Notamacropus eugenii: one gene and its partners. The protein of the gene in region 2 purifies or fractionates together with the protein of the main gene of each other region. This does not show direct contact. Links are inferred from orthologs where the notes say so. Each region holds a gene or a part of one and is shown on either strand. Other genes may lie near its edges.

The links.
Region 1: the proteins of ISG15 (region 2) and HSPB1 purify together in Homo sapiens (affinity purification with mass spectrometry; 3 studies listed by BioGRID, with this or other methods). This does not show direct contact. The link is inferred for Notamacropus eugenii from reciprocal best matches to the Homo sapiens genes ISG15 and HSPB1.
Region 3: the proteins of ISG15 (region 2) and FLNB purify together in Homo sapiens (affinity purification with mass spectrometry; 3 studies listed by BioGRID and IntAct, with this or other methods). This does not show direct contact. The link is inferred for Notamacropus eugenii from reciprocal best matches to the Homo sapiens genes ISG15 and FLNB.
Region 4: the proteins of ISG15 (region 2) and ENO1 purify together in Homo sapiens (affinity purification with mass spectrometry; 4 studies listed by BioGRID, with this or other methods). This does not show direct contact. The link is inferred for Notamacropus eugenii from reciprocal best matches to the Homo sapiens genes ISG15 and ENO1.

What each region holds. Positions count from the first base shown.
Region 1 is NC_092873.1:51,267,717-51,275,659, forward strand, and holds the start of HSPB1 (heat shock protein beta-1), read left to right. Parts: upstream 1-4,942; 5' UTR 4,943-5,434; coding exon 5,435-5,837; intron 5,838-6,181; exon of another isoform or gene 6,182-6,823; intron 6,824-7,015; coding exon 7,016-7,079; intron 7,080-7,943. UniProt on the Homo sapiens protein: Small heat shock protein which functions as a molecular chaperone probably maintaining denatured proteins in a folding-competent state. Plays a role in stress resistance and actin organization.
Region 2 is NC_092876.1:33,694,611-33,701,627, forward strand, and holds the start of ISG15 (ubiquitin-like protein ISG15), read left to right. Parts: upstream 1-4,007; 5' UTR 4,008-4,184; coding exon 4,185-4,187; intron 4,188-6,790; coding exon 6,791-7,017.
Region 3 is NC_092874.1:467,304,110-467,311,053, forward strand, and holds the start of FLNB (filamin-B), read right to left. Parts: upstream 3,006-6,944; 5' UTR 2,908-3,005; coding exon 2,616-2,907; intron 1-2,615. UniProt on the Homo sapiens protein: Connects cell membrane constituents to the actin cytoskeleton. May promote orthogonal branching of actin filaments and links actin filaments to membrane glycoproteins. Anchors various transmembrane proteins to the actin cytoskeleton.
Region 4 is NC_092876.1:47,730,793-47,737,953, reverse strand, and holds the start of ENO1 (alpha-enolase), read left to right. Parts: upstream 1-4,161; 5' UTR 4,162-4,279; intron 4,280-4,496; exon of another isoform or gene 4,497-5,052; intron 5,053-5,224; exon of another isoform or gene 5,225-5,446; 5' UTR 5,447-5,498; intron 5,499-7,161. UniProt on the Homo sapiens protein: Glycolytic enzyme the catalyzes the conversion of 2-phosphoglycerate to phosphoenolpyruvate. In addition to glycolysis, involved in various processes such as growth control, hypoxia tolerance and allergic responses.

The DNA of each region.
Region 1 (7,943 bases), on a different chromosome or scaffold from region 2:
GAAGAGGGTTTTTTTTTCCCTTGGATGGATTCATGACTCATGTGGGCCCTCCCTCAGGGTATATGCCATCTTCCCCTGCTGGACCCTTGGTCACCATCTCTCAGTCTTTGTAAATCTCCAGCAGGTGGGTGCTTCCTCTGGAGCGCTGGGTGCCTGGGCAGCCCCGAGCTTGTTACAGGGCCCGAGGATCTCAGACATAGAACTGGAAGCGACTTTAGACCCACGAAGGCCCACTCCTCAATTGTGGCTCAGCCCACTGCCTTTCTTGGGTCCCCTGCGATGTTCTTGGCAACGCTTCTCACACAGAAATTGTCGTTAGTATTTGGATCACCTGCCACTCATAAAATGGCGGGGGGGGGGCGGGGAGGGGGGAGCCGGCACGACAATATTACCATCAGATCAATAATTCTTATCCTGCAGGAGAAGGCATAATGGGGCCTGGCCCCAGGGACCTTGACTGTGGACACAGTAGTTTCTCCTAAACCTTCTGGGGTCATCAGGGACAATTTGAAATATTCGTTTCCTGCCCCCCCCCCCCAATTCTCCTCCCTACTCACACCCACTCTAGTCAGGGGTGGGGGTTGGTACAGCCTCCCCGACCAAGTGATCCAATCTGCACGCTTCTTCCCCACTGCCCTCCCCAGCCCAGTAGTAGGTGGTAGGGTGACTGTGCCTTTGTTTTCCTAAGGAAATCCTTTAGAGCTGAGCTGCCTTTTTCTCAAAAACAAAACAAAATAATTTTTTGAAAACCACAGTTTTAAGATCTCTTCTTCCTTGGAGATATTAGGATCAGAAAGCCAGAGTCCTGAGGTCTTCTAGACCAAGTCCAGCATTTTACAGATGAGGGAACTGAGGCCCAAAACAGGGGACTTATGTGCCCAGGTCACTCAGGGAAAGGGTCAGAAGTGGAATTGGAACCCAAGTCCTCCGTTTCCAAAAGCCTATGCTTGCTCTCCACTGCACCACACTGCCTCTACATAGTAGAATGTTTCAGCCCAATCAAGAGGTCTTAGAGATCATTTAGTCCAATCTCCTCAGTTTACATAAGGCAACTTGATGTTGGGAAAAATGTAATTGACTTCAAAGAGAGCTTTGAACTTAGAGTAGAGCTAGATACTGGGACCAAGAGAGAGCAAGTGACCTACTCAGGGTCCCACAGTATGGTTGTGGTATTAGTGACAAAGCTGGAACTCATGCATTAGTCTCCTGACTCCCAATTGAGGGCTCTCTCCTATAAAATATATTATAATCATCATGTGATAGAGACTGGCCCTGTAATTTCATTGGAGAGCTTCACCTGGGGAACTCCCAGGTGAAGAAAGTCTCTCCACCAATGCAGAACACCACCTTCTTTAAAATATATAGTCTTGGTTTCCTAGAGATTAAATAACTTGCTCAGGGTCACACAGCCAGGATGTGTTAGAGGGAAGATATGAATCCAGATCTTCCTGGTCCCTAGGCCAGCTCTCTACCCAATCCTCCAAACTGCTAATAATTGATAATAATAGTAATAGTAGACACTGTTAACATTGATTCTTTATGAACTCTTGAGTCTCACAGCAACCCTAGGTAAGCAGTGCTACTAGTATCCCATTTTTGAGTTGAAGAAACTGAGGCTCAGATAGGCTGTTTACTACTGTGTAACCTTAGGAAAGTCGTGTAACCCTCCTGAGTCTATTCCAAACATGCCCAGCACCTTCTCTGCCCAGAACACTTTTCATCTTAGAGCAGCCCAGTCTCTAAAAGGAGATAAGGATGTGAAAAGGACTCAGAAGGATGAAGCAGGGCAGGGAGATACATCAGGAGGTTTAAGATGAGAGACCAAGCCCTGGGCTAGGTGGGGAATGGGGACCACCAAGTTCTGCCATGGGAGTTGTTTGCTGCCTGCTCAGTCCTTGTATTCTTGTCTTGAGTGCTACCCTCCCACCCCCAGGGCCTGATAGAGTAGGAAAAGCAAATCTAGGCTTATAGGATCAGAGAATTTAGAGCTGGGAAGTCATCACATCAGTCAGATCAGCTTAGAGTTTAACCTAGTCTAAACTGTTCATTGCACTGGTGAGGGGAAGTGATTTACCCAGGAGCATACAGTTAGTAAATGACAGAGCTGAAATACCTACCCACTTCTCCCTCCTGGTCCAACACCCTTGCTGCTGCTACCGGAGCTTTCTTCCCAATTCTGTCATTGTCACAGTGTGACCTTGGGCAAGTTCCTTTCTTCCTCTTGACCTCAGTTTCTTCCTCTGTAAAATGAGAGGTTGGAGCAGATGACTCTAAGCTGGTTGGACTGATGACTTCATGGTATATGGACAGACTGTTCCATGGCAGGCAGATACAAAGGGTAGCTGGCCTTGGAGATTCATGTCCCTCCAAGTTCACTCCTCAGAGTTGAGCATGACCCCAGTGCTTGTTCCCTATGGCTTTACTTCCTCAAGGTTCTAGTTCTGAGCTGATCCCCTTGGCTGCCTGAGATATCCTTCCTCTTTTTAGTCATAGTTTTCTCTTTAATGGCCCTTCTCCCTTTCTCTAAATGTCCTTTTTACTCTCTCCCTCTTGGGCTGCAGCCCACGTCTAGAACCTGGCTACACTTTGTGTCTTATTCTTGATGGCAGAGAGCAGTGAGTACTGACCAAGGAGAATTCTCAAGGAAGAACTCACCTACTATAACCAGGGATTTAGGAAGTGATTGGAACAAATCTGTCTTTGGTTAAGATATCACTGATTCAAGGAGGTTGTGGGGAGAGGGCGTGAGTATGCAGGGATGGGACGGATGGGAGAAAGGAGAGACAGATTCAGGGATACAGACTCTTGTTTTAAATCCCAGTTTCACCACTGACAGCTGTGTGACCTTCCCCTGGTTTCCAGACCTTTCTAAGGGTGGGGACAGTTCTAAAGTACAAGGGGAGGGGATGATGAAAGGAGATTTAACCTGTCAAGTTGTTTGGAGCCCACACCCACAGAACACAGCTGGCATTTGTCAAGAGTTATAAAAGACTTTGAGATTCTAACTCCTCAAAGCTTCCTCCTCCCAATGAGGAGAGACTCCCAGACCCCACCCAAGGACTAGGTGAACAGGGAAGATTGACATTCCTTGTGGTTTCTGATCTCACCTATTTTTCAGAAAACATGGTTGGGTGGGGCTTGGGAGGACCAAGAGTCAAGCTGCATAGAAGCAGATCAGAATTCCTCAGCCCTCCATCCCTACTATTTCCCATCCCTAGAGGATTGGGGAAAAGAGAAAGCAGGAGAAGAGGAGGTTGCCCAATGGAAACATGAAGGCATCCACAAACATATTCATCCATTGTTTAAAGATTCCAGGGCTCACCTCTTCTACCCCTTCAACTTAACCGGGTCTGATGCTGAGCCCAGCCCTGCCCCTGGCTGGAGTAACCTGTTGGTGGGAGGAGAGAGTCAGTGGGAACAATTCAGATAGAAGAATCCTGCTTGGATTATTTTGTTCTATCTCTTTGGATTAGCCTTGTTTTCCTAAATTGGAAACTGTGGGGCAGCGGGGAGATGAGGGCAGGGTGAGCTGTGTATATTTTCAACTCTTCGGCTCTCTTTCTTCCAGATTGCTCAAAGCACTTTATAGGTGTGATCTCACCAGCCTTGACCCAGCCCCCTTGGGAACGGACCTGGTGTGGGTTTCAATCATCTGTCTCATCTCTGAGCTTGGAGCCTTTTACGGGCTTGAGCTCACTCATTCTATTTCTCCAGTTCTCCTTGACCTAGGGGTGGGATGGGGGTGGGGAGACACTGATGAGTAATAGAAACAAAGATTTAGATCTCACATAGAGCTTAGAGGTCACCAGATCATAGAATCGTAACTAGCTGGAGGGGACTTCTGAGGTCATTTAGTTCAAACCCCTCATTTTAGATATGAGGAAACTGAGACCCCAAAGAGTTAGGGGGTGGGGCAGACTGGAGCCCTTCACAGCAGCTTAGCTTAAGTAATGAAAGTGACTTCAGAGGCTGTCTGTCTGTTTTACAAATGAGGAAACTGAGGTCTGAGGCGGTGAATGACTTGCCCAGGGTTACACAGGTATTGTTTCAGAGGTGAGATCTGAACATCAGGTTTTAAAGAGTTCTTTCTATAGTGTCCACAGAGGACAAATTAAGGTTTTGAAAGACAGAAGACTTTGTGCTACCCAGCCTGGAAGATGAAGAGGGTGATGTATCCTCAGTGTCTCTTTGATAGAGTCCCAGTCCCTGCCCCACCTCTTCAAGCTATTTTATACTGGGATGTTTGCTATGCTTCACAAATAACTGCCCCAAGAATAGATCTTGGGGGTCCCCAGTTTCCCAACCTCCCTGTGAAGTGGGAGATCAACGTGTGTGTGCCTGTTGTTGGGAATTAGGGTTATATCACAGAGACAGCCCTAGCTAAGAGCTAACTCAAGCCTGGGCAAAGGACCCCCCTGGCGTGGGGGCTAAGGACAGGAGATGGACAGGGTCAGGACATGAGTGCAGAGGAGAGACAGGAGAGGAAATACCCTTGCAGAGAAAGGGAGGGGGAGGGGAGAATAGAAAAAAGCATTTGAGACCTAAAGCTGAGATTTTTCAAGATATTGTACCAATAAGACAGTCCTATGTCTTTCTCACTCCCCACCCCCAGCCCCTAGCTGTAGGGTCAGCTTTGTACTGCCCTCCTCCCCAAGTATCCTCTTGTCAGGGTGAATGCTTAGAGTTAGGAGTAACATGGTTCTGCTTTTGAAAATGTACAATAGATGACCTTAGGGGAGTAGCTGACTCCTAGAGTTTCAGCTTCCTCATCAGCAAAATGGGAGCAAGGGCTTTAAGGGCTCTTCCAGCTCTAAACTTCATGAACCTACAAGTTTGCTGGTTCAAGGCCCTGTTCTGTGTGTCCTTGGCAAAGTTGCAACCCTTTCTGGGCAATGGGGAGAGGCATCTCTTTGAGGGGGTGTCATAGATAGGGAGAGGGGCAATCCAGTCACACCTTGTTCCCTGGGACACCCAGCTAAAGTCGTACTCTCTGTACCCTGGGCAGTCTTGGCCCAAGTACATAAGAAAGGGGGGATGATGAAGGAGATTCTCTTCTCCACCCCCCATCCCCCTCGTCCCTCAGTCTCTCACCACCTTCCCCTCTTTCTTCCTTCATTTTCCAGAAAGATGAGTGAAGGTTCGAGGTCTGGGGCAGGGCTTGGGCTTGTTCTCCCTCCCTCTTTTCCTTTTCTCTCTCCCTCCCCAAGGAATCTAAGGGGGTGGACGTTGTCCTAGCCCGGCCCCCCTGCTCCCGCCCCCCCAGGCTTTCTGCCCCAGTGTAATTACCATTAATAGAGTCTTGAGACAGTCTTCTAAAAATAACTGGCTCTGGCTCTTTATAACCGGGGCCAGCCCAGCCTAGACACTCAGTCCCAGAGCTCCAGGGGAGAGTTGTAGGTCCTGAGCATTACCCACCCAACACTAAGAATTCAGCATGACTGAGAGACGAGTTCCCTTCACCTTTCTGCGAAACCCCAGCTGGGACCCCTTCAGGGATTGGTACCCAGCCGGCAGCCGCCTCTTCGACCAGTCCTTTGGACTGCCCCGCCTTCCAGAAGACTGGTATCAATGGCCCAGCCACACCAGTTGGCCAGGCTATGTCCGGCTGCTGCCCAGCCCTGTGGCCGAGCAGGTTCCCGCTGCTGCTGCTGCTGGGCCCCTGGCACCCCCACCCGCTGCCGGCCAGGCCTTTAGCAGAGCACTCAGCAGGCAGCTGAGCCGAGGGATGTCAGAGATCCAGCAGACAGCTGACCGTTGGCGAGTAACCCTGGATGTCAACCACTTTGCCCCTGAGGAGCTGACTGTGAAGACCAAGGATGGCGTGGTAGAAATCACTGGTGAGTAGACATCCCAGCCCCTTGTCCCATTTCTCCATATTGCCCCTGAACTTTATTGTCTACCCAGGGCAGCCCAGTTTGGGGGGGCAGGGGTAGGGGAATGTTAGTCCTGGCTATGGGCCAAGGGGAAGGGAGAGTTGGGGGGCAGAACAGGCATTCCTCCTGGGCCTTCAGAGGGAGAACATTGAACATGCTATCAGCTCCTGGCTGTCTTGGGATAGGGCAGGGCATGAGGGGCTGGATACCCCAGACCCTGGGCCAGGGGTTCTCATCCTGGGGCAGGAGGTGATGGGTTAATCAGAGGGCCTTAGTCAGAGGCTCCTCCTAGCATCCTTCCCTCATACCTTCATCCTGAAGAAAGTTGGCACACGCTGTTCTCTCTCCCAGCCTGGACTTGCAGAGAGAAAACATGTTTATTGCTGCTGCACATGAGGGAGGAAGGAACCTAGATGGGACTTGGCTCAGAAACCTTTCCCCCCAAATACCAGACCCAAACTCCACCCCTAGGCCCCCTACAGGGCTGAGCCCCATTCCTTTGGCAGATTGTCATTCTTTCCACGTTAAACATTAGTAGAAAAGTGCCTACTGTGTCCCAGACACCGTACTGAGAACTGGAGATACAAGGGAAGGTGAAACCCCACTTTGCCTCTGTGCTCAGCCATCTTCCTACCTTTGGAACCTTCTGATCCTGTCTGTCCAGAGCCATGGAGCCATTTAAGCTCCCATGCCCAACTCCCACCTCTCAGCCTTAGAGGCTGGGGCTGCTTCCAGCCCTTTACTGAGGACTTCAGAGAAAGCTTCATGCCCCTCTTCAAAAAGCTCCCTGGCACTTGGATGGCCACACCTACCTCTACCACTTCAGGACAGTGCACTAAATGTGGAGGTTTCCCATATCCCCTCTCCCACAAGAACTCACTCAAGAGAAGGGAAATCACAAAGGATTATGGAAAACCACTGCATCTTCAGTCAGAGGTTCAGAGTTCAAAAGTCTGGCTCTGCCATTTACTGTGTAATCTTGGAAAGAGTCATTTCCTTTCCCTGGGCTTCTATTTCCTCTTCTATTAAATAATGGTCTCTAATGGAATTCTGAGAGAACAGCTGGGGGGAGGGTGGATGGTATTAATGTGTGTCTCCCAGAGGCCCCCAGTCTTCATTTGTTTCTCTCCCATCTCCCCCAGGCAAACATGAGGAAAGACAAGATGAGCATGGATTCATCTCCAGATGTTTTACTAGGAAATACACGTGAGTATTGGGAGAGGGGGCTGGCCCTTGGAGAGAGGTCTCCAATTCTCAGTCATAGCCCCTTGTATTCCCTCCATGCCTACTTACCCCTCCTGTATCCACCCCCCCACCCCCCCACCTCACCCCCCACACAGACCCACTCCAGACAGACGGCAGGATCTGGTAGCAATTGTCTGGGTCTGAAGTCTCAGTGTGTGCCCAGTCCTTTGTTCTCCTGTACAAGCAGAAGGAAGTTTGCTTCTTGACCCAAGAATAGAAGGAAAGCCTGGTGGTGAACTTGGAGGTCAGAAAGACCTGAATTCAAATCTCACTTTTGCCACTTGTTAGCTAGATGACCCCCCCAAAATTATTTGACTTGAACCTTTGTTTCATGAACTTTAAGAAGAGGTGAGTGGGCTAGAATCCCTGAAAAGTCCCTTTTAGCTGTAAAACTATGATCTGTATGAGTATAAATGGATCCCTATGACAGGAATGGAGGTTTATTGCTAGAGATGGGCACACAGATGTCAAGATTGAGGGCTTATTGTTGGTGACTAGAGCAGTTCAGTGCTAGGGCTAAGGGCTCAGGGGCAACAACCACGCCCCTCCCCCCCAAAAAGCTCCATATATTAAGAGTCTAGAGAGGCAGCGTGTCCTACCTGACAGAGAGCAAACCTTGAAGCCAGAAAGAACCCCTCCTCCAACACATGCTGGCTATGTGACCCTGGGTAAATCACTTAATTTCTCAATGTATTAGGTAACTCTAAAACTTTAAGGTTCAGAGAAGGGGTCAGCCTAAATTATTAGGTGTTTCTTTACCCAGAAGTTCCTATATCAAGGAAATCCCAAATCCAGTCTCTAACCCTCTAAATGTCTATGATATAC
Region 2 (7,017 bases):
ACCATGGCTTACGTTTGGAAACCATATGTCTGTTAATGCTCATTTGAGTTTCTACATCACTTGAAGCAGTTATGAAAGGTCATCTACCATCACTTTGGGGGAAATCTGTCAGTATGTGGTTAGAAACTGACAGAGGGGAACTTAATTCAAAGGGAAAATAGATTTTTCCTAAGAGAGTGGTGGGAACGTGTACCGGTAAGAGAGATGGTTTCTGGAAATTTAATAATATTTGCGTTGTATCCTAGATGACACCTTGAGGTTTAACCAAAAAAGGAAGAGACTAGCACCTCTCACCAAATACTAAGATAAACTCCAAATGAATATATGGCTTAGACATAAGAGGCCCTATGGTTGTTTAATCATTTTCTGTTGTTTAATCTTTTCTTCCTGACCCCATTTGGGATTTTCCTTGGTAGAGATACTGGAGTGATTTGTCATTTCCTTCTCCAGATCATTTCAAGGACTAGGAAAATGAAGCAAACAGGGTTAAGTGACTTGTTCAGAGCCACACAGCTATTAAGTGTATGAGGTCATATTTGAAATCACCAAGATGAATCTTTCCTACTCCAAGACCAGCGCTCTAACCACTGCACCCCTAAGAGGCCCACAAAGGGGCAATGAAGAAAGTACCTTTAAGATCTATGAATAGTGGAAGAATTCATGCCCCCTCAGTGATAGAGAGAATTACAGAAAAAAATGAACAATTTTGATTATATATTAAAATTAAAAATATAAAATTAATGTAAAATATGAAAAATATAAAATTAAAAAGTTTACCTGCAGATTAGTCCAATGTAGTAAAAAGTAGAGGGCAAATAGGTAACTGGGGAAAAAAATCTTTGCACCAAATTTCTCTAATAAAGGTCCTATATCCAACGTATACAAGGAACTGATTCAAATTTTTAAGACTAAAAGATATTCATGAATAGATAAAGGGTCAAAAGGTACAAAGAGGTCATTTTCAGTTCAAGAAATATAACCTATCATCAACCCTGTGGAAAAAATGCTCAAAATCATTAATAATTAGAGAAAATTTAAATTCAAGAAACTTTGAGGTTCTACCTCATACCTCTCATGTTGGCCAATGTGACAAGAGAAGAAAATAACATATTGGAGATGCTATGGGAAAACATGTACAATACTGCCCTGTTGGTGGAGGTAGGAATCAGCTCAGCCATTCTGGAAAGCAATTTGGAACGATGCCCAGAAAGTTACTAGAATGTTCAGAACCCTTGACCTAGCTAAGCTACTACTAAGACTGTAACCTTGCCCTCTTCAGATTCAAAGAGGAAGAGATTCTCTCTGTACAAAAACATTTCTAGCAGCATTTTTCATGGGAGCCCTAAACTGGAAACTGAAAATGAAACTTTCAGAGAAAGCTGGGAAGACCTCTATGGACTGATGCAGAGTGAGGAGAGCAGAAGTAGGTCAACAATTTATACAGTGAAAACATTATCGAGTAAATTCATCTTCAAAGATTCTAGAACTCTAAGAAACCCCAACCAAAAGAATGAAGATGAGATGACTTATTCATCTCCTGCTATAGAAGTGATAAATTTAAGATGCAGAAAGAAACTTTTAGACATGGCTAATATAGGAATTTGTTTTGCTGGACTATGAAGCTATAGAATGAAGGCTTTTTTTTTTTGAGGCAATTGGGGTTAAGTGACTTGCCCAGGGTCATATAGCTAGTAAGTACCTGAGGCCCAATTTATACTCAGGCCTTTCTGACTCTAGCCATTGCACCAACTAGCTGCCCTCAAGATCTTTCTTTCCTGGGTCTTCAGGACCTCTGGCTGTAGTACCTGATGAGTCTCATCCCCACTCCCTTTTCTCCCTGAATGATGGCTGTAGAGGCTGGGCTGACAGCAGAGATAGTGGTAAGAGAGCCCACTACTGCCTTATCTGGACAACAGAGACAGCAGTAGGTGGTGGGGATGGAAGAGCCCTTCTCCACAAAGGTGGATGATGTATGTCAGATGAAAGCTGCTACAATTCCCAGGAATCTTGACTTCCAGCTCCTGGGCTCCTGGCTATCCTTTAGGAGGCTATGCCCCTTCAGCTTGGCTGGTCTGTCTGCCCAGCTATTGGCAGATGGTTGGGGTGGTGGGGATGGTGAGCCCCTTCTATGCAGGGCTTGCCCCCCTAAAATAGCTCTACCACAAGATGTTCCAGCTGATGGTGTCTAGAAGAGAGAAAAATACCTTTTCCTAACCTACCCTCTTTTCCTGGTGACCCTGGACAGCTCCCTCTCTGTTAGAACCACAGAGCTCCTAGTCATTGAAGTAGCTCCATGACTTGAACTTCCTGGAGTGTAGTCAATGGCCAAGCTGCCCTTACAGTTCCCAGCTTCATAAAGGAATAACAGGGTTTTTATATGGTCCTTTGAAAAAAACAAATACTCTCTTTTCTGCACCTTATTTTCTGTAATTCCATCAACTGTGTGCTATGGGGGAGGGAGTGGGGAGCAGGAAGAGGAAAGGGGGCAAATAGGAACCAATTTCCACCTTCCAGAAACACTAGCAGCCATTCTGGGGTCATGTTCACAGAATGAGAGTTTGGTACCTGGGTTCCCGGGACCACAGTGTCACAGATGCACACCTGGAAGATTCCTTAGAAACCATTAGAACATTCTTATTTTTCAGATGAAGAAACTGAGGACCAGAGATGGAAGTCTCTACCTGAGATCACATCAGGGATAAGTGATAAAGCTAGGATTTGAATTGGGGTTTTCTAACTCCAAATCCTGATAATAACAGAGTAGGCAAGTGAGAAATGATTTTTCATCTGTTTAATCATTCATCATAGATTTAGACATAGATTAGGGGTTATAGGGGTCAACTAACCTAATGCCCTGGATTTGCAAATGAGGAAACTCAGGGATCAGAGAAATTGTGACTTGCCCAAGGTGAGGCAGGTAGAAAGTGGCAGGGGTGAAATTTGAACTCAGGTCTTCAGACTCCAAATCCAGCTTTTAGTTTCTGGAAGGGGCCCTCATTTTAAAGTTGAAGAAACTGAGGAACAGAAAGGTCAAAGTGAATTCCCTAAGGTCTCACAGATAGTATCTCACCTAGAGGGTAGTTAGGTGGCTTTGTGGTTAGAGTGCTGGGACTGGAGCCCAGAAGTCTTGAGTTCAAAATCCAGTTTCAGACACATCCTAGCTGTGTGACCCTGGGCAAGTCACTTAATCTCTGTTTGCCTCAGTTTCTTCATTTGTAAAATGAGGGTAATAATAACCCCTAGCTCCCAGGGTTGTTTGGAGAATCAAACAAGATTATATTTGTAAAGCATTTAGCACAGTGTAAGTACCACATAATATTAACTATTATTATTATTATAATTTAGAAGTCATAGACATAGTCATAGCCATGGTAGCAAGGAGCACAGTTGGTATTTGAACTACTGTTTTACAGATTAAAAGTTGAAAGCTACTTCAAAGGGCATTTAATCTGTCTTCCTCATTTAGGTGACTCATCCCAAGTCACGTATGTAATAAACTGCAAAGTTAGGATGGCATGGGGCTTGGTAAACAGTTAAAGCTTAATAAATGCTCTTTTCCTTATTCATTCGTAATAGGTTTAGAGCAGAAAGAAACCCTGAGGGTTAACTTCTTCATTTTACAGATGAGGAAACTGAGGCAGTGAAGAGCAAACTGGATTGCATTTGAATCCAGTTCCCCTTTCTCCAAATGCCATAAGAGGGACCACAAAGGGCAGACAAGATGAGGTCAGTTCAGGGAAGGAGATTCAAAGGAGAGTTTCTGCATTTAGAAACGGGGAAGCCCTGACTCATTCTGGGGGCTCCTGGGGTACGGGTGGGGATCACACCTTGCCAGCTCCAGTCAATTCTCCTTCCTCCTCACAGCCCCACCAGAAGCCCTTTCCCAGGGAGAAGTCTGACAGACTTTATCACTTTAGGGATTTCCATCCTTACAGCTGAGTTTTATTTCTGCCTCCAGTAGGGAAACAGCTCGGAAGGGAAAGTGAAACTGAAGAAATGTTCCATTTGCAAAGTAGAGTTTCAATTTCCAGAGCTGCGAGTCTCTGAGTCCACCCTTTGTGTTATGCTAATCAGGTGCGGGCAGATAAAAGGACAGTCATAGGCTGTCACAGAATCAGTGGCTGAGCAGGGAGAGAGGAGGCAGCCCCCAAAGCCCGAGCTCCAGCCTGAGCAGACCTGCAGCCATGGTAAGGTGGGAGCCCCTCGGTGCATCATCCCTCTGGGTCTCAGTTTCCCCTTTCTCCCCATTGTGAAGTTGGTTATCTCCCTCCTCCTCTATCCTCCCTAATCCTTTCCTGCTTTGTTCCTCCTTTCTTCTAACAGGGAACAACAGAGAGGTCTATCACCTCCTTCCCCAGCCCCTGATCTTCCTCTTGAGCGGAGGTGTTATTCATCCCTTCCCTGTTCTCCAGGGACCAGAATGTTCACTGCAGTCCATCTGAGTCTCCATTTCAGTTGTTCAGGCCTCACTTTGGCCAAGTCCTCCTAGGTTTCTCTGAATTCGAGCTTTGGCTTTCTCATCAATAAAATGAGGATAAGAATGCTTGACCTAGCCTTCCACTTGCAGGAGGGAGGACACTGATGGTTTGAGGGATCTTGTACACACACCTCAGTTTCTTTTTCTGGAAAATGGAATTAGACTCAGTGACCTCTGCCATCCCTTCCAGGTTTGAACCTATGCATGTCTATATGCAAGACAAGTAGTGTTGAGGGTCCTATCCAGATTTCAAGCTGGAAGGGACTTTAGAGGTTATCTGCTTCAAGCACTTTATGTTACAGAAGAGGAAACTCAGATTCAAACAAATTCTTACCTGTATAAGAGCGCAAAAGTACTAAGTAGTAAGGGTGGGATTAAAACTCAAGACTTTGGACTCCAAAGCCAGCATTTTCCACTGCACCTGCTGCCTGAGAAGTATAGAGACAGCCACTGCAATTGCTTCTGTCATTTTCTCTTTCCTCTTCTCTCTCTGTCTCTCTCTCTCCCCTTCTTTGCTCTCTTTCTTTCCCCTCCTCCCTCTCCTTCTTCCTCCCCTCCTCCCCTCTCTCCTTTTCTGTCTCTCTCCTCTCTCCCCTCCCTCCTTTTCCTCTCCTTTCCCCTCTCTCTTTCTCTCTCTCCTCTCTTCCCCTCCCTTCACCCTCCTCTCTCTCCCTCTTTCTCCCCCTCTCTCCTCCCCTCCCCTTTCTCCCTCTCTCTCTTTTTCTCCCCTCTCTACTCCCTTCTTTTTCTCCCCCTCTCTCCTTCTCTTTCTCCCTTCCTTCTTCCCCCTCCTCTCTCTCCTCTCTTTCTCTCCTTCTCTCTCCTCTACCCCTCTCTCCTTCTCTCTCTCTTCTCCCTCTCTGTCCTATCCCCTCTCCCTTCTCTCTCCCTTCCTTCCCCTTCCTTCTCTCCCGCTCTCTGTCTTTGTCTTCTCTCTCTACCTCCCTCTCTCTTCCCCCCTTTCTCTTTTCCTCTCCCTCCCTCCCTTCGTCCTCCTCTCCCTGTCTCTCCTCTCTTCCCCTACCTTCCTTCCTCCCCTCCCTTCTCTCTCCCCACTTCCTTTCCTCCCCCCTCTCTCTTTCTGTCTTTTTCTCCCTCCCTCTCTCCTCTCTCTCTCTCCCCTACTTCCTTTGCTCCCTCATCTCTCTCTCTCTCACTCTTGCTCTGCCCTAGATAAAGTAGGATAGAACAGGTCAGGGTAGGTTAAGCTTACTAGCCTGGGCTGGGCTAGGCTAGGTTAAGATCGGTTACGATACTACAGGTTACTATCGAATGCTGTCCCAGACCTTAGAGCCTACCTTATCCAAGCCCTTTATTTTATAGATGAGGAAAGGGGCACCAGGAGACCTGAAGTAATTTCAGCAAAGTCACATAGGGAGGGAAGTGAGATCTGAACCTTGGGTCCCTCACTCCAAAGCCAGGACACTTTTGAGGAGCTATCACTGAACTCTTCTGTGCAGAGTCCCATGCACCAGCATCCCCTACCACTGTGCTCCTCCCTAACCCACAGAAGGGAGAGGGGCCAGATAACTCCAAGGCAAGATGTGGCTGTGTGTAGCTGTGTGTGTGTGAGACAGAGATAGAGAGACAAAGAGAAAGAAAGAGAGACACAGAAACAGAGAGACACAAAGACAGAGAGAGAAAGAGACAGAGAGATACCGAGACAGAGGAAGATTGAAATCTAAGGTTCCTATAATTCCTCCTCCAGGTTGGGGAGCAGCCTGATAAGGACAGAGTAACTTAAAGAGAAGCCTCAGCCTCCATTCCCATTTCCACTTTCCCCAGGATGTGACAAGGGGATCCCAGGGTTTTAGGTTTAGGGTTGGGAGAGAGCCCGGAGACCTTCTAGTTCTATTTTACAGAGAAGACAGAAGCCTGAAGAGGAAAAGGGCTCAATGACAAGAGATAGTTCACACTTCCAGAGTACATCAAGGTTTGCAAAGAACTTTACAAAGGTCATTTCATTTTACATTTGTAACATCCTTGGCAGGTAGGTGCTATTATGACCCTCATGTTACAGATGTAGAAACTGAGGCTGAGAGCTTTCCCCCCAAAAGATCACACAGCTAAATAAGCCACTGAGGCTGGATTTGAACTTCGGTCTTCTAGCTTCTCTACCCACTGCCCCACCCATCTGCCTACATCACTTTAGATCCCCCAGGTAGTAAGTGACAAAGGCAGGAAATTCATGTTATCTGACTTCAAATCTGGTCTCCTTCTCTAAGCTTCAGTTTTCTCCTCTGTAAAAGGGGGCTACCCCCTCCCAGGGCTGGAAGTGCTTGAGCCTCAAACATGGCCTGGTTTCTCTTGCAGGGCATGCATCTGAAGGTGAAGATGATCACTGGGGTGGAATACCTAGTGAAGGCAGAAGGCCACATCACTGTCATGGAGCTGAAGAAACGTATTGCTCTGCAGACTGGAGAGCCAGCATATGCCCATCGTCTGGCCACAGAAGGCGGAGAGCTACTGCTAAATGGGAAACTCCTCTCCCAATACGAGTTGAGGCCTGGAGATATTCTGCTGATGATGGTGGAGAAAGA
Region 3 (6,944 bases), on a different chromosome or scaffold from region 2:
ACATTATATTTTAAACCTTCAGTAGACAGACAACTGGAAATAAATCTGCTACTTTTGTTACTTAATCAACAAAAAGTTAGTAAGTCCCTACTCTGTGGAAGGAGTATACAGGGTAAAACTACAGAGAACCTACTCCAATCTGCACCACTTGACCACTCACTACCTCTCGTGGCTGTTTTCCTCAAATGTGAAATAAAGGTGGGCCAAACTTTGTGCCCTTATGGCTCGAAATCCATAATCCTATACCTCCCATGCCAGTCCTTTTGCTCGTGGAGCTATGGATGAAAACAGAAGCAGAACTGAGCACCAAACCAGGGCTAGGATACGAGGTGGTAACAAAGACAACATTAAGTGCTACCATTTATTATCTTTGATGCCCTGCTTTAAAGTCTGCAGAGCACTTAATACACTGATCCTCAAAACAGCCCTACAAGTCAGTGATAGTTTATCTTCATTTTACAGCTGAGGAAACTTGAGTCATTGAGTCAAGTGGCATTTATTAAACCCCTATGATGTGCCAGGAGCTGTGTGCTAAGCGCTGGCCTGAAAGAGATTAAGTGACTTGCCCAGGGACACACGGCTAGGAAGTGTCTAGGGCAGGATTTATACTCAGCTCAGATCTTTCTACCTCCAGGATCAGCACCCTATCTACTGCACCACCTATTGGCCACAAATGGGCAGGAGAGCCCACTCTCTAGGACAGTTTCTCTAAGCAGAGAGAGAGAGACATACACAGTTCTAATAGTGAAAACAGTATATATAGGGTTTTAGTAAAACCTATTCACACTTTACAGTACTTTCAGCTTACAAATTCTCAAGAAACCCGGCAGTAGGATAGTGCCAAAGGATTATTAATCCCATTTTACAGATGGAGAAAACAGATCCAGCTTGTCCAAAGGTCCTGTAACTGACTAACATCTAACAGTAGAGACAAGGATTCTCATCTGTTGAGTTCAAGAGCAGTATTCAAAATATCCATGGTTGGCCACTCTTGGCATACCAAAGGCTATGGCCAAAATGAGACGTAGTGGGCACCTAGCACTTAACGTCAGATGTTACTAAGGGTGGATCCTTCTTCCACAGAATGATCCTGGGAAATAACATTCCTGAAATTCAACAATTTTTTTTAATGCCCAACCCAGCTTCCAGAATTTTCAACTCCAGGCTCTCTTGGTTTCTTGTTCCTTTTTTTTCCTTGGAGTTGTTTTGGGAGTTGTTTAAAAGGGAGAGGACCGGGAATAACAGAGATCCACACCTCTCCTTCCAACCAATCTTAAAGCAAAACACAATTCCAGAAGAAATACTTTAAAATGACTGAAGGCATTTCTCTCCACTTTCCTCAGGACAGGCAGGGGACTTTCAGGCTCATCCTGGGTGATTCCAGATGGAGCAGAAGGCCCAGGTGAGCTCAGCTAAGCCCCAGGACAAGATTCCCGTCTGGTTCCAAAGCATAGACAGATCCTCTGGTTTCCCTCCCCACCCTCAGGGGGCCAGTGGATCCCCACTCCCACCCCCAGCCCTCACCTGAGAAATATAAGGGGCTTCGGTTTCACAGAGAAGGAAACTGAAGCTTTAACGCCTTGGATTGGCTTAGATCAGAAAGTCAGCAAGGGCTGGAATTGGACCCCAGCTGCTCTCTGGCACCATGCTACCTGCCCCTAAACAAGAGGACGGCCTTTCTCCTAGGCAGAGCAATTGTACCCAAGCCGGGAGTCAGTCCAGCTGGGCTATTCCCGAGGGAAATGGGTGTGAGCACAAGCACAAGCCTAGTCTGGGCCAGTTAACCTGCCCCAGCAGGTGCAGGTACAGAGGGCCACAGACTCCCCTGTGGGGAGTACCCCTCAGGGAGGTCCCTTTCCAGCCGCTGACGGTAACCAGACTGTGGAAATAGTCCCGTGGCTATGCCCCTCACCACACTCCAGTTGGACAGCCCAACAGCTTCCTTCCCTCACCCACCACCCAGCACCCTCGATCCACTCAATAAACGCCCCCTCTCCGCTCTCAGCCCCTCTAGTTCCAGGTAAGGAAACTAAGAAATGGAACGGAGATCTTCCCTTCTCCCTCCAGCTCCGGGAAGGAGCACTAGCTGGATTCCCCCCCCACCCCCCAAAAAAAGTGAGCTCAGGAAAAGGGTACATGTTACACGCCCCCCGCCCCGGGGAAAAAATAAAACTCAGTACGGAGGTAAAGGCCAGCCCCTCGGCCCCAAGGGAGCTAAGGGGGATCAAAGGCTAGACTCACTCTCAAAAGCAAATTCAGAAGAGGAGCACCGGGGGAATTCCTGCACACACACTGGGTAATAGCTCCCCTCACCCAGGAGCGCGAAATCCACACGGAGCAGGGGGAGGAAAAGAGAGAGGAAGGGGATGGGGGCCGGGGGGTAGAAGAGGAGGAGAGACAGGGGATGTGGGGGAGGAGAGGAGAAAGGAATGGGGGTGGAAGAGGGGAAAGGGAAGGGATTTCGGGTGAAAGGTGGGAGGAGAGGTGAAAGGGATGGGGAGAAGGAGAGGAGCAGGGGATGGGGGCAGGAGAGGGGGGGCAGGGGATGCGGGGCAGAAGAGGGGGGCAGGGGATGGGGGGCCAGGAGTGGGGGGCGGCCGGCCCCGGGCACTGACCGATGGACACCAGCTTGATGCTCTCCAGCTCCAGGAACTCGAGCGCCACGGACACGTTCTCCAGCTGCATCTGGCGGAAGGTAGGCCGCTGGTGGAACTTGCGGTACATGCGCTTCTGGCTCAGCACCTCGAGCAGCGCGATCAGCCGCAGCCCGTCGCTCAGGTCCGTCTGCAGGTTCCCGATGCGCTTGTTGACGCACTTGAGGTGCTCGTTGCACCAGCGCGTGAACGTGTTCTGCTGGATCTTCTTCCACGGCGCGTCCTCGGCCAGGTCCTTCTCGGTCACGGGCATCTCGGCGGCGGATGCTGGGGCTGCTGCGGCTGCTCAGGCTCGGCTCGGCTCGGCTCGGCTCGGGGCTCCGCTCCGCTCCGCTCTCGGCGCTCTCTGCTGCCCCGCAGCCCCGGCCGTGCGCCCTGCCTGGCCCCGCGCCTGCGCCGGCCCTCCCCGGCGGCTGAGCTCGGCCCCTCCTCCTCTCCGCCCCTCCGGCCCTTGGCTGCGCTGGCTCGCGGTGTCCCTCTGCCGGCCGGGCCGGCTCCCTGCTGCCTGCCGCGGCCGAACCCGGGATCCCGACCCTCCGCCTGCTGGGCACCCCGCTAGCTGGCTACCTGCTGGCGTGGTGGATGGCCCTGCCCCGGCGGAGACCAATCGGGCCCTCCATCCAGCACGTACTGAACGCCTCCTGTGTGCCAGGCTTTAGGGATGCCAGTGCCAAGCCAAAAACGGAACCAAACGGGGAGGCGAGGCCGCCAGGTGAGCTGGTCTGAGTCAGACTTTGCTACTCAGGAGATCCGAAATCTTAGAGGCATGAATGTAAGCCCACTGCACTTCTTAACCCCGATCTCTGCCTTTGTTAAATGCAGTTTTCTCCTTCATTTATTCATTCAACAAACACGTACGTACTGTGTGCCAGGCCCTGTGCCAAGTACTGTCAGTTCACTTCATTTATTCTCCTACTGTGTGCCAGGCCCTGTGCCAAGTACTGTCAGTTCACTTCATTTATTCTCCTACTGTGTGCCAGCGCCTGTGTGTCAATTCTGCCTATTCACTCCATTTATGGGTCCAACAAGCTTTCATTGCCTTCGATGTGAGAGGCAGTGTGGTGTGTTGGTTAGAGAAGGCCTGCCTCTGACACTGTGTCTGCGTGACTCTGGGCTAGCTCCTTCACCTCTCAGTGCAGCGGGCCACGCTCTAAAAATAGCCTGCATTTGTAGAGGGAGTTCCCTAATTTAAAAGAAATCACCTCTCCAATCTCTAACCTTACTACGTATGGGGCTGGGCGCTAGGGATCCTTCCTTCATTCTAGAAGCTTTATTAAGCATCTTCTAAATACCAAATTCTAAGCTGGGTGCTAGAGATAAGAAAACCCGAAGCTGAACCGCTTCAGTCCTCAAGTTTACATTCTTGCCTGGGAGTAAAAGCAAACTGTTTAGAAGGGGGAGGGGAGGGAGGCATGGGAATCAATTCCTCAAATACAAAGATTTAAATCTCACCTAGAGAGATTAAGTGACTTGTCTAAGGTCATCCTATATAGGAGTCTGGACACCTGGTCTCTAGTCCCAGCTGGCAATCCATGTTATTCACAAAGGACATTTCAGCTCCTGACTTAACCACTTTGTACCTCAGTTTCCTCATCTGTAAAATGAAGCAGTTGGACTGAACGACCTTTAAAGGCCCTTCCAACCTTATCGTTCAACTTTCCCTCTCCAAAGGCATCAGGCATTTCTAATCTCAGTCTTCTTCATTCTGTAACTTTTTGGAGCCTCTGACACTTTGGAGCACCCTCTTCTTGGTGCTATCTTCTTTCTGGGTTTTTAAGACACTCTTCTTTCCTGGTTCTCCTCCCACTTGTCTGACAGCTTCTTTTCAGTCCCCTTGCCTGGATCTTCATGGAGGTGGTGCCCACTATTGGTAGGTGTCCCTCAAGGCTCTATCTTGGGCCCTCTTCTTTCTGTCTATGTCATTTTAGCGAGTCCCTCAGCTCCCATGAATTCAATTATCATCTCTGTGTGGATGATTCTTGGATTTATTTATCCGTCTCTCTCTCCGGACCACCCAGCTTCCATCATCAACTGCCTTCAACTACATGTCTTGTAGACATCTCACACTCAACCTATCCAAAACAGAAGCCATTATATCTCCCTCAAACTCCCTCCTCTTCACAATTTCCTGCTAATTGTACCCACACCACCCTCCTAGTCACCTAGGCTCCCAATCTTGGACTCATCCTCCATGCAGCTCCCACACTCACCCCACATGTCCGATTTGTTACCACATCTTTTTGTTTCTGTTCCCACATCTCTCATAGATGTCCCCTTTTCTCCATTTCTATCACATAGCCCCCACCCTGAGGCAGGCCCTCATCACCTCATGCCTAGACAAGAGCCTCTGACTGGGTCTCCCTTCATCAGATCTCTCCCCACTATAGTATGTCCTCCATTCAGCCACCAAAATCATCTTCCTAGTGTTTAAATCTGACCAAGTCATGCCCTCTCCTCAACAAATAGGAAGCCAGTGGTTCCCTATTACTTCCACCATTGAATACAAAATCTTCTGTTTGGTTTTTAAAGCCCATTAAAATCTGGCCTCTTCTAATCTTCCCAGTCTTCTTACACTTTACTGCCACCCACATATGCTACAGGTGGCTTTCTCCATATACATCTCCCCTCTTTGGGACTTTTTACTATCTATCCCCAATTGGATAGCTTGAAATGCCCCCCTTCCTCGATGCCAGGCTTCCTTCGAGACTAAACACAATCCCATCTTCTACAAGGGGTCTTTCCCCATTACAATTGCTATGTTCTATTTAGACACTGTACACATCTCATTTGTACATAGCTCTTTGCATATTATTCTCATTAGACTGTGAATTTCGGGGGCGGGGGGACCTATGTTTTTGCCCTTCCTTGGATTCCCAGTGTTAGCTCAGTGCCAGGCAAACAGTAGGTGCTTAATAAAAGCATTTGATGAGGATGATGTCTCACTTCTCTGATCTGTCCTTTGGGATTTTGTGATGCTAACCAGCCTTACTTGGAGAATACTAGGCTTTTTCAATGAGGTAACAGATAAACAAATTATGTCACATGAATACAATGAAAGTGAGGAATTTAGGGAAACATGGAAAGATGTGTGGGAACTGATGCTGTATGAAGTCAGCAGAACCAGGAAAACAATCTACACCATGACTGCAACGATGTCAGTGGAAGCAGAGTTTTGGTGATTCTAAGCTGCTCACTCTACAAACGCCTCCCTCTCTGTCTCTCTCTGTGTCTCTGTCCTTTTCTGTCTCTGTGTGTCTGTGTGTGTGTATCTCTCTCTGTCTCTCTGTCTCCCTCTCTCTGTCTCTCTTTTCCTCCATCTCTCTCTATCTTATTTTTATTATTATCATTTGTCTTTATTTCCAAATATCTCCCTTCTGTCCCTTGTAACAAAGATTAAAAATGAATGAGGAAAAAAATGTATTTCATCCAAACCAGTCCATATATCCACTATGTCTGGTTGTACATGCAGTATTCCACACCCATGGTCCTTCAGTTTTGCAAAAAAGAGAATGAGATGCATTTTTTTATTCTCTGTATTGGAAATATTTATGTTTATTGATGAGTAAACTTTTAATAAAAAAAAAAAAATACTGTTATTTTTAAATGACTCCAGTTCTGAAATCCTGCTGGCCTTTGTTTCCTGCCTACCAAGAGGTGACACCATTTCTCAGTGTTTGTTAAATTAAATTGAATTGTGGCGGTGTCCAAATTATAAACAACCCCTTCAGCTTCAGTGGGGAGAATCCCAGAAAATAAAATTCTTTGAAGTCAGTATAAACAGAACGGCATCTTCCCACGAATTTACAAACTTTAGGCAGGTAGATGCCAAAGAGGAAGGGAAGGAGGGGTGGAAAAACAAACACTGATCAAAAGGTTCAAATAAATATCAGCCTCTTGTTTTTAAATTCTAGGGAAAGAGAACTTGTGCCCTCTGCAGGCTCAGGTCCCAGCTCCTCCAAACTGTTTCCCCACATTGTGGGCTCAAGAAACTTCAGGATAAGACTGTCTTCAAGGTCTGGGCTCATGGGTTAGCGAGGTTCTCTCTGGTAGCATCCAAGAGGAAATCTATCTTAGCCTGAACACTGATCTAGGAAATGTGCTCTTATAATAACTCATTTTCCATTGAACTTTATAACATGCAGCACAGCAATTCTCAAAAAATTTTGGTCTCAGGACCCCTTTATAGTCTTAATAATTATTGAGGACCTCCCAAAGAGCTTTTGTTTACTTGGATTTGGATTCTCTCACTCTCCCCTGTATTTGTGTGTGTGTGTGTGTGTGTGTGTGTGT
Region 4 (7,161 bases), about 14 Mb from region 2:
CGTATAGAATAATATTTTCAAACAAAATACATTGTATTGCAAAGGACCCCAATTAGATTGAAATACAATTATCAAAATGTTAAAACAACAACAACAACAACAACAAATTCATAGGCCCCAGAATAAAACACATTATCCAAAATGCTTTTGTACTGGAGAAGAGGAATTCCATTTAATTACTGCCAAAAGACCATTCAGCCTTTAATCTGATCTTGTGAGTTTTCCCCCCCCCTTTGAGTCTTGGATGAATCCAGCGTGTGCTTCAGGGTGGGGTGTGTCCCACTCTCAGGCACTGACTGAGATGAGATGCAGAGGGGTTTAGTAAGAAGAATATGCAGCACCCTCTAGATTGCAGACGAGATTTGAGGACTTCTCTAATCTTTAACACTTTAACAACGGAGGACCGTGGAGTGAGAGTGTGATTGGAAACTTTGTTATGGCTCAGAGTGTGGTATAAGTATCTAAGAAACTTGCAACTGTAGCTGTCTAGAGCGCATTGTATTTTGTATTGTTTCCTGCTGGAATTAACTGGCTCTGACAGGGTAGGATTCCTTGTATCTTACCTTGATGTCTCTACCACCTCACCCCACCACCCCGCCTCTCTGTCTCTCTGTCACTCTGTCTCTGTCTCTGTCTCTCTCTCTCTGTCTCTCTGTCACTCTGTCTCTGTCTCTGTCTCTCTCTCTCTGTCTCTGTCTCTCTCTGTCTCTCTCTCTCTCTCTCTGTCTCTCTCTCTGGAGGCACTATAAAAGGAGAAAGGAATTTTAAAATCACCTCAGCATGGGCCCCTAGGGCTTGCTTTGAGCACAGGAGAAATAATAAGTCTTCAGTTTCCTGAAGCCTGAGTGAACAAGGCATCCAGGCAGCTGCAAAGATGACTTGCTGAGTCATGGGGCTGGGATGTTATTTTTTAACAAGGGCAGACATTTCAGCATCTTGCTGCTACAACCACAAATTCTGCTTTTTAAAAAATCAGCTTGCATAACCTTTCTGGCCTTTGCTAAATGTAAAAACCATTTATTTGGTCTTAATTCTCCAATCTTTCTGGGGTCCTGCATCTCAGGCTGGATTATTTTATTTGCCAGATGGACAGGGGATATTGTTCACCTTTTAAGCCTTCATCTCAATGTGCCCATGGGCTTGGAAGTGCACATTCTACAGGGAAATTATTCCATTTCCAGGTCTTACCTTTTACAAAGTTCATTAATCTTCACGGAGGATTGATTTCATGGGAGTCTTAGGAATAGAAAACCGTGGCTGGCCCTAAACTGCAAAATCGCAGACTCATCCATAGAGTTTTAAGGTTGGGAGGGACTTGAGAACATCTAGTCTGACACACCAATGACTGAGAACAGCAAACTGAGTCACAGAAAGAGGAAATTGTTAACAGAAAGTTAGTAGCAAAGTGGCATATGCCAACTACAGAGAACCAACTCATTTTTTCCACTACCTCAGACTGACCCTCAAAGTCAGATTAAAAGGTCAATGCATTTGACAAAAGCAGCAAACATATAAGTACCTAAATTGAGGCATGGTTGATCCCCAAGCAATGGATTGAGAGGTAGAGGACCAGATTTGACTCACCTCCAAACTATGTGACCCTGGGTGAGTCATTTAGCCCTTGAGCCTCAGTTTCTGACTTATAAAGTGGGACAATACCAGCATCGTTTAACGGAGGGCATTGTGTTTGGGAAGGAGGGGAACTCTGTAAACCTCACACAATTATAGATATATGAGCTATTATCCTGACTATCTGCAGAGCCCTGTGGGGTCTGATATTGGGCATGAGAAAAGTTTCAAAGAGGTTCCCTCCCTACCATCCTTGTCATTGACTCCTGAGTGTCCACACCAGCTCCTAGTTTTCTTACTTCTTTTTTTCTTTGCTTTTTTAAAAATTTATTTATTTATTTTTAGTTTTCAACATTCATTTCCACAAGGCTTCTCCTTTTTAAAAGTACATTTTACTGATGGCTTTGATCTCAGTCATTAGAGATAGGGGAGAGAGTTCCTCTACCCTACCCAATCCTTCTAGATTAAGTAATTTCTTTCTTAATCCCCTTCCCTTTTGAGAGGCACTGTGCTGAAATAGAGTTCGGAACCTGTGGTCAGGAAGCCCTCAGACTCTTCTCTATCTGTGTAATGCTGCTTAAGTCACTAAACCTTTCAGGCCTTCAGTCTCCTCATCTGCAAAATGGGGGCATTGAACTTCATGGCCACTTAGGTCCCTTCTAACTCTGAATCTATGATCCTTTGTTCACCTCCATTTGACTGAAACTGTCTTGAAGACAAACCCCGCTTTCTTGATCTTTTTCTTAGCTTTCTGCCTCATTTCTTACCATAGCCTTAATCACTGAATGTGTGTTGCCTCAGTGAAACAGACCTGATAAAGACCTTAGCTTAAAAAGGCCAATGTCCCCCACTATATCCTGCACCATCTCTAGTTGTCCTGACTGATATCTGGCCACTGGATCCAGATGGCTCCAGGGCAGAAAGTGAGGCCAGTGACTTTGCACAGCCCTGTCTCAAATCTGATTCACTTGCATATCGGGGCATCACCTCCATAATGTCACAGTCCTCTTTGAGAAAGTATAAATGATGACAACCTTTTCTTGACTGCTCTGGTACCTGACACTGTCAACCCCCCTATTCCCCTTCTGCTCCTTGAAATACCTTTTTTCCCATTAGTAATAAAGTGCTTATGCTTGCTCACCTAATAAGTGGTATGGTGCCACTTATTAGAAAGAACATGAGGAGTCCTCTGGAGTCAGAGACTTGCGTGTCCCTTCTATTACTTCCTGCCTCTGTGTGACCCAGAGCAAGTTACTAAAGCTCTCTAAACCTGTTTCCTCCTCTATAAAATGAGGGTATTGGGTTAGATGACCTTTAAGGTCCTTTCCAACTCTAAATCTATGATCCTCAAGGATCTTATAGTCTAGGAGACTTGTCTCCTTTCCTCTATCCATTTCCTTGTACCTCATACCATGGTGGCCATCTCTAGTCATCCTAATCTATATCTTGCCACTGGACCCAGATGACTCTAGAGGAAAAAGTGAGGCTGGTGATTTTGCCGAGCCCTCCCTCACTTAAATCCAGTTCACTTGCATGACATGACATCACCTCTCTGATATCATGGTCCTCTTCAAGAACAAAGGCCAACAACCATACTTACTTATGTGGACATGTTACATCCTCACTCTTCCATTTAAGAGCCAGAGGGAGATGGTGCTGCTTTTTACTTTTATAGACCTCTCCTTTGCTGAGCATAAGGTATTACAAGTATTTAGGGTTAGATCGACAGGTTAGCCAGTCCTGCTGTCCTCTGCCTTGTTCAGACTACTACTGAAGTAGTATATTCATTTCTGGGCACCTCCTTTTAAGGAAGGATGTTGATAAGAGATGGCAGCAGATAGAGCTAGCCTCCAAGTCCAGGAGACCTGGGTTCAAGTTGACTCTCTGACATATACTTCTTAACAAGGAGGACAGTTATGGCAAAGAGTGGCTTCCTCTTTATCTCCCCTAGAGGGGAAGAGTACTGATAGTTGAGTTGTTGAATTCTCTCCATTTTTTTTCTTCATTTTACGGTAGTTAAAAATGGAGGGCCAGCAAGTGGCAAAGTAAATAGAATAACAATCCTGGACCTGAGTTCAAATTTGACCCCCAACACTTGACTCTTACTAGCTGTGTGACTCAGGACAAGTCACTTAACTTCTCCAGGCTCTAGCTGGGCAACTCTCTATCAAGTGCCAACCTTCGCTGGAAGATGGCAGTTTTCTCACCGCAGAGTTCTCTATACTTGTGAAACTACCTGTCCCATACCTACCCCTAGAGAAAATCTGGATATTGTGCCAAGGGGTACTGTCAGGGTCTTGAAATTCCTTGAGCTCAGAGGACCAGTTTGAAAAAACTTGGGTGTTCAGCGCAGAAGAGTGGAGGTGGGGAGGGAAGAGACAGCATTTGAAAATGGGTGCAGATTCACTTCCTTGGCCCCATGGGAGCCAAGCAGCAACGAGCTACAAGAAGGCAAGTCCAGGTTTCCTGGAAGAAAACAGACAATAAGAGCTGTGAAAAGGCAGAACGGCAGTCCGTCAGTCAGTAAACGCTTATTAAACCCCACGTGTTTGACCACGTGCCAGGCAAGGTGCGGGGGGGGGGGGGGCCCACAAAGACCTTGCCCTCAGGGGGCTCACCCTCTAAAGCGGGAGACCACGTGCAAGCGCCCTTCCCGGCAAGGACGGGTGACCATCTATTGGTGGAAGAGGAGAACCCTGCGCGGATACAGGTTGGATTTGGAAAGACACCGAGATGTAGCTCAAGTCAGAACTTGTCATGAGCCGATGGCACTCAAAGAATTCCAGGGTCAGCCCGGAGTAGGGGTGGGGTGGCGGAGAAGAGAGAAGAGCTCTTAGAACTGCTCTACGCCCTGCAGGGGGCGGGCCAGCGAGGAGTGGGCATCTCCTTCCTTCGTCCTTGCCGCTGCGCACGCGCGAGCCTCTTTCCTTTTCTCCCGCCCCTCCCCCCTGACTCGGGAACGCGAGCGCGGTCAGTGCTACGTTCGTTCAGTCACGCAGCACTGCAGCTCTCGCCCGTAGCTGCTGCGCCTGCGCACCCCATCCAACGGCTTCTCGGGAGGCGGGGTTCTAAGGGGCCGGGGTTTTTCCATTGCCACAATGAATCACTGGTGCGTTCTAAAGGACCAGCAGTAATTCCACCCAAGAAGGCCCCGCACGAGCTGCAGTAATACTCCTGTCAGTCAGTCCCTTTCCTGGCCCTCGCTTGGAGGACAAAGTGGGTCGACCTCCCCCCAGAGAATGAGGGAACTGAGTTTGGGGGTTTTTTGGGGGGATGGGGAGATTGTAGAAATTTAAATAGCCCAGGGCGAGAGCGAGCTGGCCTAACGGTTTGGCGGCTGCGCAGGCGCAGACAGCACCAACTAGAAGCGGGGGAGCATGGGTGGGGGGAGAAGTAAGAGGGAGGAAGAGGGCCACTGTCTCTGGAGAGCTGGTGGACATTTTAAAGAATAAGCCGGGGGACTGAGATCGTGCGGGACGAAGAGTGCGTGAGATCGAAGGCCGACCCCTCCCCCCAAGAAACCCCCTTTCCCCGCCCTATCTCTGTGGGAGGGACAAGGCTGGAAGCGGCTCCCGTTGCTACCGCAGCCCCGCCCTGCCCGTGGGCTCTCCTACCCAATCAGGAGGCCAGCGGCGAGAGGGACGGCGCGCTCCGCCAATGGAGGAGGGAACACGCAGCCGGTGGCGCTAGGGGATAAGACAAATAGGAGAAGGGGGAGGCGGTGCTTGATCCCACCCCCTCCAGCCTAGACCGGAAGTCTGGAGGGAGGAGGTGGCACCGCTAGGGGAGCGAGGAGGAAAAGGAGGAGGAGCCACTGGAGGAGAAGGAGGGGTTCCCTGGGGTGAGCTCGCCCATTTAACGCTCCCTCTTGGTGTAGGTAGACCCCTCGGCCTGTGTTCTCTGAGCTCAGCGGAGGAAGCCCCATCCAGGTAAAGGGGACCCTGCAGACCTGGGCCGTCACCCCTGCTAGGGTTCTCAGCAGCCGGGGGGCAGGGGTGGAAGGGGGTCTCGGCCCCTCCGGGGTCGCCCGAGCCGGCCCCCATCACCCTCCCCGTGGACCGCTGTGGCTCCCACTGCCCGAGCCGAAGGGCTGCAGCCTTTGGGCCCTTGAGTCCTGAGTCGGACAACTTTCTGCCTCGAGGAGAGGACTTTAGAGGTTATTTGGGCTCCACCCCCCCCCCTTTTTTTTTAGAAAGTAGCAAATTGCGGCCGGTAGCAATGCTGTGCCTCCTCACTCAAGGTCACCCAGATGGAGGGGGCCTGGGTAGAGATTTAGTGGGGTGGCTTTGCGGGGATGTGGGTAAGTAGATAAGATGCTTGCGGGAGTGAACAAATTTTCCCTTGCAGTTTGGGGGAGAAACAAATCCCCGGTATTTTATCTACAAGGCGCACGACGATTTATTTCTCTCGGGGAGGTGGACTTTAAATGAACATGTGTCTCTCGGAGAGATTTCTTGTAATCCCTGTAGGATTTGGAATGGAGTAATTCCTTAAGGTGGTCCTAATTTCTCAGAGTAATCGTTCAGAGAGATTTGAAAGGGACTCAATGGAAAGGAATAAATTACACAACAGTTTGGGTAATTGTGCTGGTTTATCAGTAGCAAGTGCCCATCTTTGGGGGGAAGTAGGAAAGGGGTGTGATCTTTTTTTCTAAATATAGCTCATAAATGTAGCCATGTCCCTCACTTTACAGATAAGGAAACTAAGGCCCTGAGAAGTTCAAGTGACTAAATTTAAATAGAGGCAGGAAAAAGATGATGGATCCCTTTTTGGCAGTTCCTTTCCCCCCCTTTTAAGCTTTTATTCTGTGTACTGAAACAGGTCTTTTCAGATGCAGATTCTTGCTGCCTCATGGTCTGTGAAACCAGTCCCTTTCCTAAAATGGAGGAAGGGGCTGTGAATAGGATGCCCCTCCCCCAGTGGCTTCTTAGTCTAGAATGTTACAGTGATTGGAGCTTGCTCAATGAGTGCATTTCAGTGGTTTGGTGTCCCCGCTAGATTGCTTTGAAAATGTACTGTAAATGGAGTGAAATTAGAACTGCAAGTAATGATGTCTATTTTTGACCAAATTACACTAACCAGAATGCCTCATCTTAGAGGGCTGGAATGTATACAATTTATATCAGAAGGACCTTTTTATTTTTTCCCCTCTTGTAAAACCATTCTCATCTGCCAGGAAAGGACCTCTTAAAATGCCCATAGTTTCCTAATCACTGTTTTCCTCCAGAATATATTCTTGTTTAGTCTTAGTGGCAAACTTTCATCCCTGGCTCACAAGTTAGGCCATGACTGCCTACTGTACTACTTTGGTACATGGGTCAATCCAGAGATAAAAAGCAAATCACAAGAACTATGTGTGTTCTAAAATGGTTCTCCATCTAGTAGATCATTTTACTGAAAAACAGTAAGTACAAATGCCCCTTACAGCACCTAAGATAACTGTGGTTATTCAACCATGTCTGACTCTGTGATCCCATTTGGTGATCTCTTGGCAAAGATATTGAGTGGTTTGCCATTTCATTCTCCAGCTCTCATTTTACATATGAGGAAACTAAGGCAAACAGGGTTAAGTGACTTGCTCAGGGTCACACA